Linked DNA regions of Macaca fascicularis. The protein of the gene in region 1 purifies or fractionates together with the protein of each later gene. This does not show direct contact. Links are inferred from orthologs where the notes say so. Each region holds a gene or a part of one and is shown in the gene's direction. Other genes may lie near its edges.

Evidence for each region. The genes of interacting proteins can lie anywhere in the genome.
Region 2: the proteins of MTMR3 (region 1) and PLK1 purify together in Homo sapiens (affinity purification with mass spectrometry; 4 studies listed by BioGRID and IntAct, with this or other methods). This does not show direct contact. The link is inferred for Macaca fascicularis from reciprocal best matches to the Homo sapiens genes MTMR3 and PLK1.

What each region holds. Positions count from the first base shown.
Region 1 is NC_088384.1:21,642,039-21,646,414, reverse strand, and holds part of MTMR3 (phosphatidylinositol-3,5-bisphosphate 3-phosphatase MTMR3), read left to right. Parts: intron 1-259; coding exon 260-405; intron 406-1,837; coding exon 1,838-3,242; intron 3,243-4,376. UniProt on the Homo sapiens protein: Lipid phosphatase that specifically dephosphorylates the D-3 position of phosphatidylinositol 3-phosphate and phosphatidylinositol 3,5-bisphosphate, generating phosphatidylinositol and phosphatidylinositol 5-phosphate.
Region 2 is NC_088394.1:22,754,469-22,758,844, forward strand, and holds part of PLK1 (serine/threonine-protein kinase PLK1), read left to right. Parts: intron 1-3,645; coding exon 3,646-3,801; intron 3,802-4,376. UniProt on the Homo sapiens protein: Serine/threonine-protein kinase that performs several important functions throughout M phase of the cell cycle, including the regulation of centrosome maturation and spindle assembly, the removal of cohesins from chromosome arms, the inactivation of anaphase-promoting complex/cyclosome (APC/C) inhibitors, and the regulation of mitotic exit and cytokinesis.

The sequences.
Region 1 (4,376 bases):
GAGAAAGGGATCTAAAAAAATATTTTAGATTTTCATGCTCTCAAGAGGCTCTTAGGTGAAAAATATTGGCCATGTAAAATGTCTAGTCCTGTATTGGTCCTCTTGGGATAGACCTGTATCCATTGGTGCTGCTGCTTTGTGGAGATCCGGTCAGCCCTGTTTGGTATTCCAGCTGGGTGCTTGCTCTTGATCCTCATTTCCAGACATCCTAGAAGACTTATTGGGACCTATTTAAACCTGTGTCCTCCCCCCTCCTCAGGTGCTGTACCCTGTGTGCCATGTGCGTAACCTGATGCTGTGGAGTGCAGTGTACCTGCCCTGCCCATCCCCAACCACCCCTGTGGATGACAGCTGTGCACCATACCCAGCCCCAGGCACCAGCCCTGATGATCCACCCCTGAGCCGGTGAGCCCAGGGTGATGCCACGGGCCTGACAGCCTGTGTGGTGTATTCCTGTGTTGGGACATGTCCAGGGATGGTTAGAGATCATAATGTTATCTGCCTCCACAATATCTTTCTTAGATCTCTGCAGTTTTTTCAGGGAAGTTATAGGGATTTCTGGGTTACAAGGCTGTAAGAGCCTTGTTTCTGGGAGTGAGTTGGGCCCTGTTGCTTCATGTTGTTTTGCATGCACTGAGCAGCTCCTCAGTGATAGAGCAAATCCTCCAGGTTTTCTGTGACCCCCTGGTTTGTGTTTTCCCCAGTGCTCTGTGCCCCTGCCTATTTGCCATGATTTGTCTTCTGAGGCGTAAAAGGCAGATGCTGTCAGATGACAGAAAATTTTGCTTTGGGGCCAGGCTTGGTGGCTCATGCCTGTAATCCCAGCACTTTGGGAGGCCAAGGCGGGAGGATCACTTGAGCCCAGGAGTTCCAGACCAGCCTAGGCAACATGGTGAAACCCCGTTTCTACCCAAAATGCAAAAACTAACCAAGCGTGGTGGCACATATCTGTAGTCCCAGCTACTTGGGAGGTTGAGGCAGGAGGATCGCTTGAGCCTGGGAGGTGGAGGTTGCAATGATCCAAGATCCATTGCACTCCAGCCTGGATGACAGGGCAAGACCTGTCTCAGGAAAAAGAAAAAAAAAAAAAAAAAGAAAAAAAAAAAAATTTGGCTCTGTCACTTGAGAGTTAGCTTTATTAAATACAGACTGATAGATAACGCATTAATTTAAAATACTGTAATATCAAGAAACACCAGTGCTACTTTGCCACCCACTGAGAAACACAGCAGCATCATGAAGAATGTGTTTTGGAAATAGCATTTGCAGGCTGGGCACAGTGGCTCACGCCTGTAATCCCAGCACTTTGGGAGGCCAAAGTGGGCAAATCACCTGGGATAAGGAGTTCAAGACCAGCCTGGCCAAAATGGTGAAACTCCCATCTCTACTGAAAATACAACAAAAATTAGCTGGCCGTGGTGGCAGGTACCTATAATCCCAGCTACTCGGGAGGCTGAGGCAGAATCGCTTGAACCTGGGAGGAGGAGGTTGTAGTGAGCTGAGATTGCGCCACTGCACTCCAGCCTGGGTGACAGAGTGAGAGTCCGTCTCAAAAAAAAAAAAAAAAAAAAAAAAAAAAGCATTTGCTGTTAGCTCATTTGTATGTATGGGGCATGGGGTTGGGGGAGGGTGAAAGGAAATCTGCACACTAGGAGGAGGACTTGTTCCGGAGCTTTGCCGCTCCAGCAGTCTGGGCCTCGCTCCAGAGATGCTATAGCTCCATGAGTAGCTGTAACGGACCCAGTTATAAAGCAACTGCTTGTTAAAACCTATTGTCTCCTACTTCCCTCCAGACAGCTTCCAAGATTTTCATTTCCCCCAAATTTCTTTCCTGTAGGCTACCAAAGACTAGATCGTATGACAATCTGAGCACAGCCTGTGACAACACAGTGCCTCTAGCCAGCCGGCGCTGCAGCGACCCCAGCCTGAACGAGAAGTGGCAGGAACACCGGCGCTCGCTAGAGCTGAGCAGCCTGGCTGGCCCTGGAGAGGATCCCCTTTCTGCCGACAGCCTAGGGAAGCCCACCAGAGTGCCGGGGGGTGCCGAGCTTTCCGTTGCAGCTGGAGTAGCCGAGGGGCAGATGGAGAACATCTTGCAGGAGGCCACCAAAGAGGAGAGTGGAGTAGAGGAGCCTGCCCACAGGGCAGGCATTGAGATGCAGGAGGATAAAGAGAACCCTCTCTTAGAAAAGGAGAGCAGGAGGAAGACGCCTGAGGCCTCAGCCATTGGACTTCACCAAGACCTAGAACTGGGTGATGCTGCTCTGAGGAGCCATCTGGACATGAGCCGGCCTCTGTTTTCACAGGGTATTTCTGAACAGCAGGGTGGGCTCAGTGTTCTCCTCAGTTCTCTCCAGTTCCCCCCGAGGGATGAGGATTCCCTGGAGGTCCCTGTGGAGCAGTTTCGAATAGAAGAGAAGGCAGAGAGTAGGGAGGAAGCAGTTCTTCCAATCCCAGTAGATGCAAAAGTTGGCTATGGTACCTCACAATCATGTTCTCTGCTACCTTCCCAAGTCCCTTTTGAGACCAGAGGACCAAATGTGGACAGTTCTACAGACATGTTAGTGGAAGATAAGGTGGAATCAGGAAGTGGGCCCCAAGTCCATCATAGACCTTGCCTTGTTAATAGTGGCAAGGACAGGCTTCCCCAGACCATGGAACCCAGCCCTTCAGAGACAAGCCTGGTTGAGAGGCCCCAAGTGGGGTCTGTGGTGCATAGGACTTCCCCTGGCAGCACTCTCAGCCTGACACGTTCCCCTTGTGCCTTGCCTTTAGCTGAATGTAAAGAGGGGCTTGTGTGCAACGGTGCCCCAGAGACTGAAAACAGGGCCTCAGAGCAGCCCCCAGGTCTTAGCACCCTCCAGATGTACGCCACACCCAATGGGCATTTCGCCAATGGGGAGGCTGGTAGGAGCAAGGACTCACTGAGCCGTCAGCTCTCTGCTATGAGCTGCAGCTCTGCCCACTTACACTCAAGGAACTTGCACCACAAGTGGCTCCATAGCCACTCAGGGAGGCCATCTGCAACCAGTAGCCCCGACCAGCCTTCCCGCAGCCACCTGGATGATGATGGCATGTCAGTGTACACAGACACAATCCAACAGCGCCTGCGTCAGATTGAGTCAGGCCACCAGCAGGAAGTAGAAACTTTGAAGAAACAAGTCCAGGAGCTGAAGAGTCGCCTGGAGAGCCAGTACCTGACCAGCTCCCTACACTTTAATGGAGACTTTGGGGATGAGGTGGTGAGTAGGCTGTGGTATTCCTCCATAGCTGCCTAAGGAGACAGGGCACACTAAGGCTGGGTGCCTTTTGTGCCAAGAGCATGGTGATTGGTACAGGTTGTTATAAGGATTGGAAAGGTCCAGAGTAACCCTGTTAAGAGAGGCTGGAGATGAGCCTCTGCCACAGCAATGGCAGCCTGCCTGTTTTCTGCTTTGCTTACTTTCCACAGATGTCCTATTGAGGCCGTTGGAAAGGAAGAGACTTAGCATGCACTACATGGTTGGTCAGATCTCTCAGACACAGGATCATAAGTCTTCAGAAGGGCTTGAACCCGTGGGCAGAATGACATCTGTAGGGCAATGCCAAGTTATTCCTGTCAGATTTTAGTGCCTATTCTACCTTAGTAACTGCAAAGTATTAGCCCTTCCAGATGTAGGCTATGACTTTGAAGGTTCAGTTCTTTTTAAACAAATATTTATACCCCACCCTGTGGCAGATGCTGGCAGTAGAAATGGAGAGAAGGGACTGGTTTCTAGCACTGTTGAGGAGTTAGCTCTGATGGGGGTTGGTGGCTGGAAAGGGGTTCCAGAGGGGAGGTTCTCAAGGAGATGCTTTCTTCTCTGGGTAGAGTTGATTCAGGCAGCTCAAGTACAATTGTGAGCCTGGCTCTCAAGTGGTCAGCGTGCATTAAAGGCGGGCACATCCAATGACTTTCAGTTCAGAGTGACTTGGCTTTTCCTTCATGCTAATGAGTTTCTCATGTTCCCAGAGAGTCCTTCCAAAAAGAGGGCGGGCATCTGGAAAGCACTCAGCTTTAACTAAGTGGCAGGCAGGTTTGGATTGACAGGCCCACTGGAGCAGCTGACATACAGAATTCTCATTCCATTTGGGTCACTTCTCTCTCACTTTCTGGAACCCTGAGGCCTGTCTTTCCACTCCAGAGTCACTGCACACAACCTGTGTATCCGTCTCCCAGCTGAGCCCAGGCCCACACTGCACTTCTTCACCCAGTTCTTGATGGCTGATGCATCTGCAGATTCGGCAGTCCTAGCACTCGGCCCCACCCAGAGTCCTCAGTGCTCCCCTCTTCACCAGGCCTTTTCTTCTTTTGGGAGGAGACGAGGTTCATTCTGTTCAGCTGTGTTTGTTTGCCA
Region 2 (4,376 bases), on another chromosome or scaffold:
CCTCTCATCTCAGCTGAGACTACAGGCGTGTGCTGCCATGCCTGGCTAATTTTTTGTATTTTTTGTAGAGACAGATTCTCACTTTGTTGCCCAGGCTGTTCTCAAACTCCTAAGCTCAAGCAATCTGCCCGCCTTGGCCTTCCAAAGTACTGGGTTTACAAGTGTGAGCCACTGCACCCAGCCAGCATGAAAATTTTCAAGTACACATATAGAGCATAATGTAATGGATTCCCTCATACTTACCAGATTCAATAATTAGTTATCAGGATTTTGTCAAGTTTGCTTCATTCATTTATTTTTGTTTCTTTGAAGTATTTTTTAAAGTTAACCCCAGGCACTTTGCCATTTTTATACATAAACTTCAGAATACTTCTCTTAAAAAAGATGGACATTTTCTTAAAAATCAAAAAACCACATGCCATTGCTTAGGTTGTCATTGCTTCTAGGTCTCTTCAGAGAACAGAATTAGGAACTGCATTTGTGGCAGTGGGGAAAGACTGACATTGAGTCTGTGTTGGTATTTCCAAATCACACATTTTTAAACATTTTTTTATATTATTGTAAGCTTATGAAAAACGTAGCAGAGACCAAAAAGACACTCCCATTCTCCCCTTTTGCCCAGATTCACCAGTTAACACTTTTTTTCGCATTTATCAATTGCCCTCTTTTTTCTGAACATTCAAAAGTTGTATACGTCCTACCCTTTACCCTTAATGCTTCAGTGTATGCTTCCTACAAACAGATTCTTTTACATAACAATAATACCTGGCACAATTCCCAAGTTCAGGAAATTTAACATTGATACATACTGTCTTACAGTGATTTTCTTTTCCTCCACTGGGGAGTTGCTGCTTTTCTTTTGGTAATTTTTAAGTGTCTGATTCAGACACAATATTAATCTGTTTTTACTTGTTTGGTTTATACTCATATTTCTTTTCTCTTAAACTGAAAATCTTGTTCCCTTACATTAATATGCTTAAAATTTTCAACATATATGAGTTCCTGTTATTAAATGATATTTTATTTTCTTGCATTTCTAATTGTCTTTAAAGTATATTTCACTAAGGATACATAGTTTTTTTGTTGTTTTGTTTTTTGTTTTTTGTTTTTTGTTTTTTTTGAGACGGAGTCTCGCTCTGTCGCCCAGGCTGGAGTGCAGTGGCCAGATCTCAGCTCACTGCAAGCTCCGCCTCCCGGGTTCCCGCCATTCTCCTGCCTCAGCCTCCCGAGTAGCTGGGACCACAGGCGCCGAGGATACATAGTTTTAAAAAGTCACTTGAAATACTTTTTTGCTCTGTGGATATATCACCAATTTGATGTACAACTTCAGTTCATTTTTCAGTTTTCAATTTTTAGGCATTGGTTTTTCTTAAACTTCATTTTGGAATAATTTTAGGCTTATACAGAAAAGTTGCAACAATAAAAAACTCCCCAGAGTTTCCACATACCTTGCAGCTACTACAGTGGAATTTTTTTTGAGACAGGTCTTAGGACTTGCTGTCACCCAGGCTGGAATGCAGTGGCTCAATCATAGCTCACTGCAGCCTCAACATCCTGGGCTCAAACAGTCCCCGTGCCTCACCCTCCAGAGTAGCTAGGACTACAGGCATGTGCCACTATACCCAGCTAATTAAAATTTTTTTTCTTTGGGAAGCCGAGGTGGACGGGTTGCCTGAGTTCAGGAGTTTGAGATCAGCCTGGGCAACATGGCAAAACCCCATCTCTACTAAGTACAAAAAATTAGCCAGTCATGGTGGTGTGCACCTGTAATCTCAGCTACTCAGGAGACTGAGGCACAAGAATCACTTGAACCCGGGAGGTGGAGGTTGCAGTAAGCCGAGATCTCACCTCTGCACTCCAGCCTGGGCAACAGAGCAAGACTGTCTCAAAAAAAAAAAAAAAAAAAAATTTTTTTTGTAGAGACAAGATCTCACTATGTTGACCAGGTTTATCTCAAACTCCTGCCCTCAAGTGATCCTCCTCTGCCTCCCAAAGTGTTAGGATTACAAGCGTGAGCCACTGTGTCCTGCCTACAGTGATGTTCTAATGGCAATTTTTCTTTTCCTTACTTTTTCTACATTTAATAATTGGAATTCTCCTGTAAGGAAGAGCTGTTCCTTCTCTCCCATTGATTTATTTATTTGGTTATGTCTGAAATAGACTCATGGATATTTTATTCTTTGGGCTATATTTTAAAGGATTACTTATTTCTCTGTTTTCATTTATTTTTTTTAATTTGAGACAGGGTCTTGCTCTGTTTCCCAGGCTGGAACACAGTGGCACAGTTGTACCTCACTGTAGCTTTGACCTCCTGGGCTCAAGTGATCCTCCACCCTCAGCCTCCCAAGTAATTGGGACTGTAGGCACGTGCCACGTCTGACCAATTTTTAAATTTTTTGTAGAGATGAGGTCTTGCCCTGTTGCGCACACTGGTCTCGAACTCTTGAGCTTAAGTGATCCTCCTGCCTCAGCCTCCTACTTTTTGTCTTTCAGTTTTAATTTTTCATATAGCATTTTAAAAACTTAAGGAAATTTTCAGTTACCCAAAGGTGGAGAGAACTGTATGATGAGTCCCATGTTTCATCTATTTTTACTACTTATCAACATTTGGACAGACTTTTTTTATTTATTCCAGCCTCTGCCTTTTTTGTTACTGGAGTTTAAAAAAATTATTATTTACTATTTATTATTATTTATTATTTATTTGAGACAGTCTTGCTTTTTTGCCCAGGCTGTAGTGCAGTGGCAAGATCATGACTTAGAGCAGCCTCCACCTCCTGCGTTCAAGTGACTCTCCCACCTCAGCTTCCCAAGTAGCTGGGACAGCATGTCCAGCTAGTTTCTGTATTTTTAGTAGAGACAGGGTTTTGCCATGTTGCTCAGGCTGGTCTCAAACTCCTGAGCTCAGTCTACCTGCCTTGGCCTCTCAGTGTTGGGATTACAGGTGTGAGCCACTAGGCCTGGCCTTGCTGGAGTGTTTAAAGCAAATCCCTAATATCTTATTATTTCATACCTAAGTCCCTATCATGGCATTGTTTTTTAATTGAAAACTTAAACATTTTATATTATGCAAGGAGAATTACCACATGTTGGTGGGGGAATAAATAAATAAGGAAAAAGACAACAAAAATAATCTGTGTTTCTACTGCCCAGATATAATCAGCGTTAAAATTTCATGTATCTTTTCAAGCTTTTTTTGGTTATAAATAAGCATATAAAGCAAATTTTGGGGTGGAAAAAAATTTCTTGTGTTTTTATTTAAATGCCAACTGAATCCATTCTGTGGATGAACTGAACTACTCAGCCCTTCCATCTGCCTGGATGCTGAAGATGCTTTTAATTCTTTGCTCGAAGCTGGGCAGCTCTGAGCTGCTGTTGCCTTCAAGCTGTTTGCCTGAGTGGCAGGTCGTATCCTGCAGGGCCACATCGTTGGGTCAGAGGCCAGAGCATCTGAAGATCTGTTGCCTCACAGTGAGCACTTGTGCCTGTCACCTGAGCATGGCAGCTGCTGCTCTAATAACCAGGCACTGACTCAGTTTCCCCAAAGCAATGGTAGCTAAGAGAATTTTTCTTTTGGAAGAGTTTCAGCTGTGGCAGGGGAGTCCTATGCCCTTCCCAACGCCCCTGTTTTTGTCACCTTTCTAGGCTTGGAGAACCCCCTGCCTGAGCGTACCCGGGAAAAGGAAGAACCAGTGGTTCGAGAGACAGGTGAGGTGGTCGACTGCCACCTCAGTGACATGCTGCAGCAGCTGCACAGTGTCAATGCCTCCAAGCCCTCGGAGCGCGGGCTGGTCAGGCAAGGTGGGTACTGCGGGGCCCTGGGCGGGGCAGGATTGCTTGGGGCATCTGGAGAAGGCAGGAGGAGCCTTGGCCAACAAAGCACTGGTGACTTGTCCAGGCCCCGTCTCCATAGGACCATTGGTTTCCCCATTTCCTGATATCCGAGGCCCTGCTTGCTGTGGCTCCTGCCTTCTTTTCTGATCCGTCTCTTACTCTAGCACCTCGATGTGCCACCTTCACACGCTGTTTCTTTTGCTCAGTAAGTTCCTGTTGTTTCTTCAAGACCCTTGAAATAACAGACCCAGACGTACTGCAGCCTCAGGGCTTTCTCCCTGGCCCTGGCATGAAAGCACTTCTTCCAGACACCACATGGCTCACACTGTGGCCTCCTTCAAGTGTCTGCTCCGGTGTCACCTCCGTGAGCATCTCCCTGGCCCCTCTGCTGGTGCTTCGCATCCCCTTACCCACTGCATAGTTTTCCATAACACTTCTCACCCAACATAGTCCAACACGTCCTTCTTCTTTGATTGGATTTAAAGTAAGGTGTTTGTTGCATGCACTGAATATAACATTTTCATGTGTTTGCAGCCGGCGTC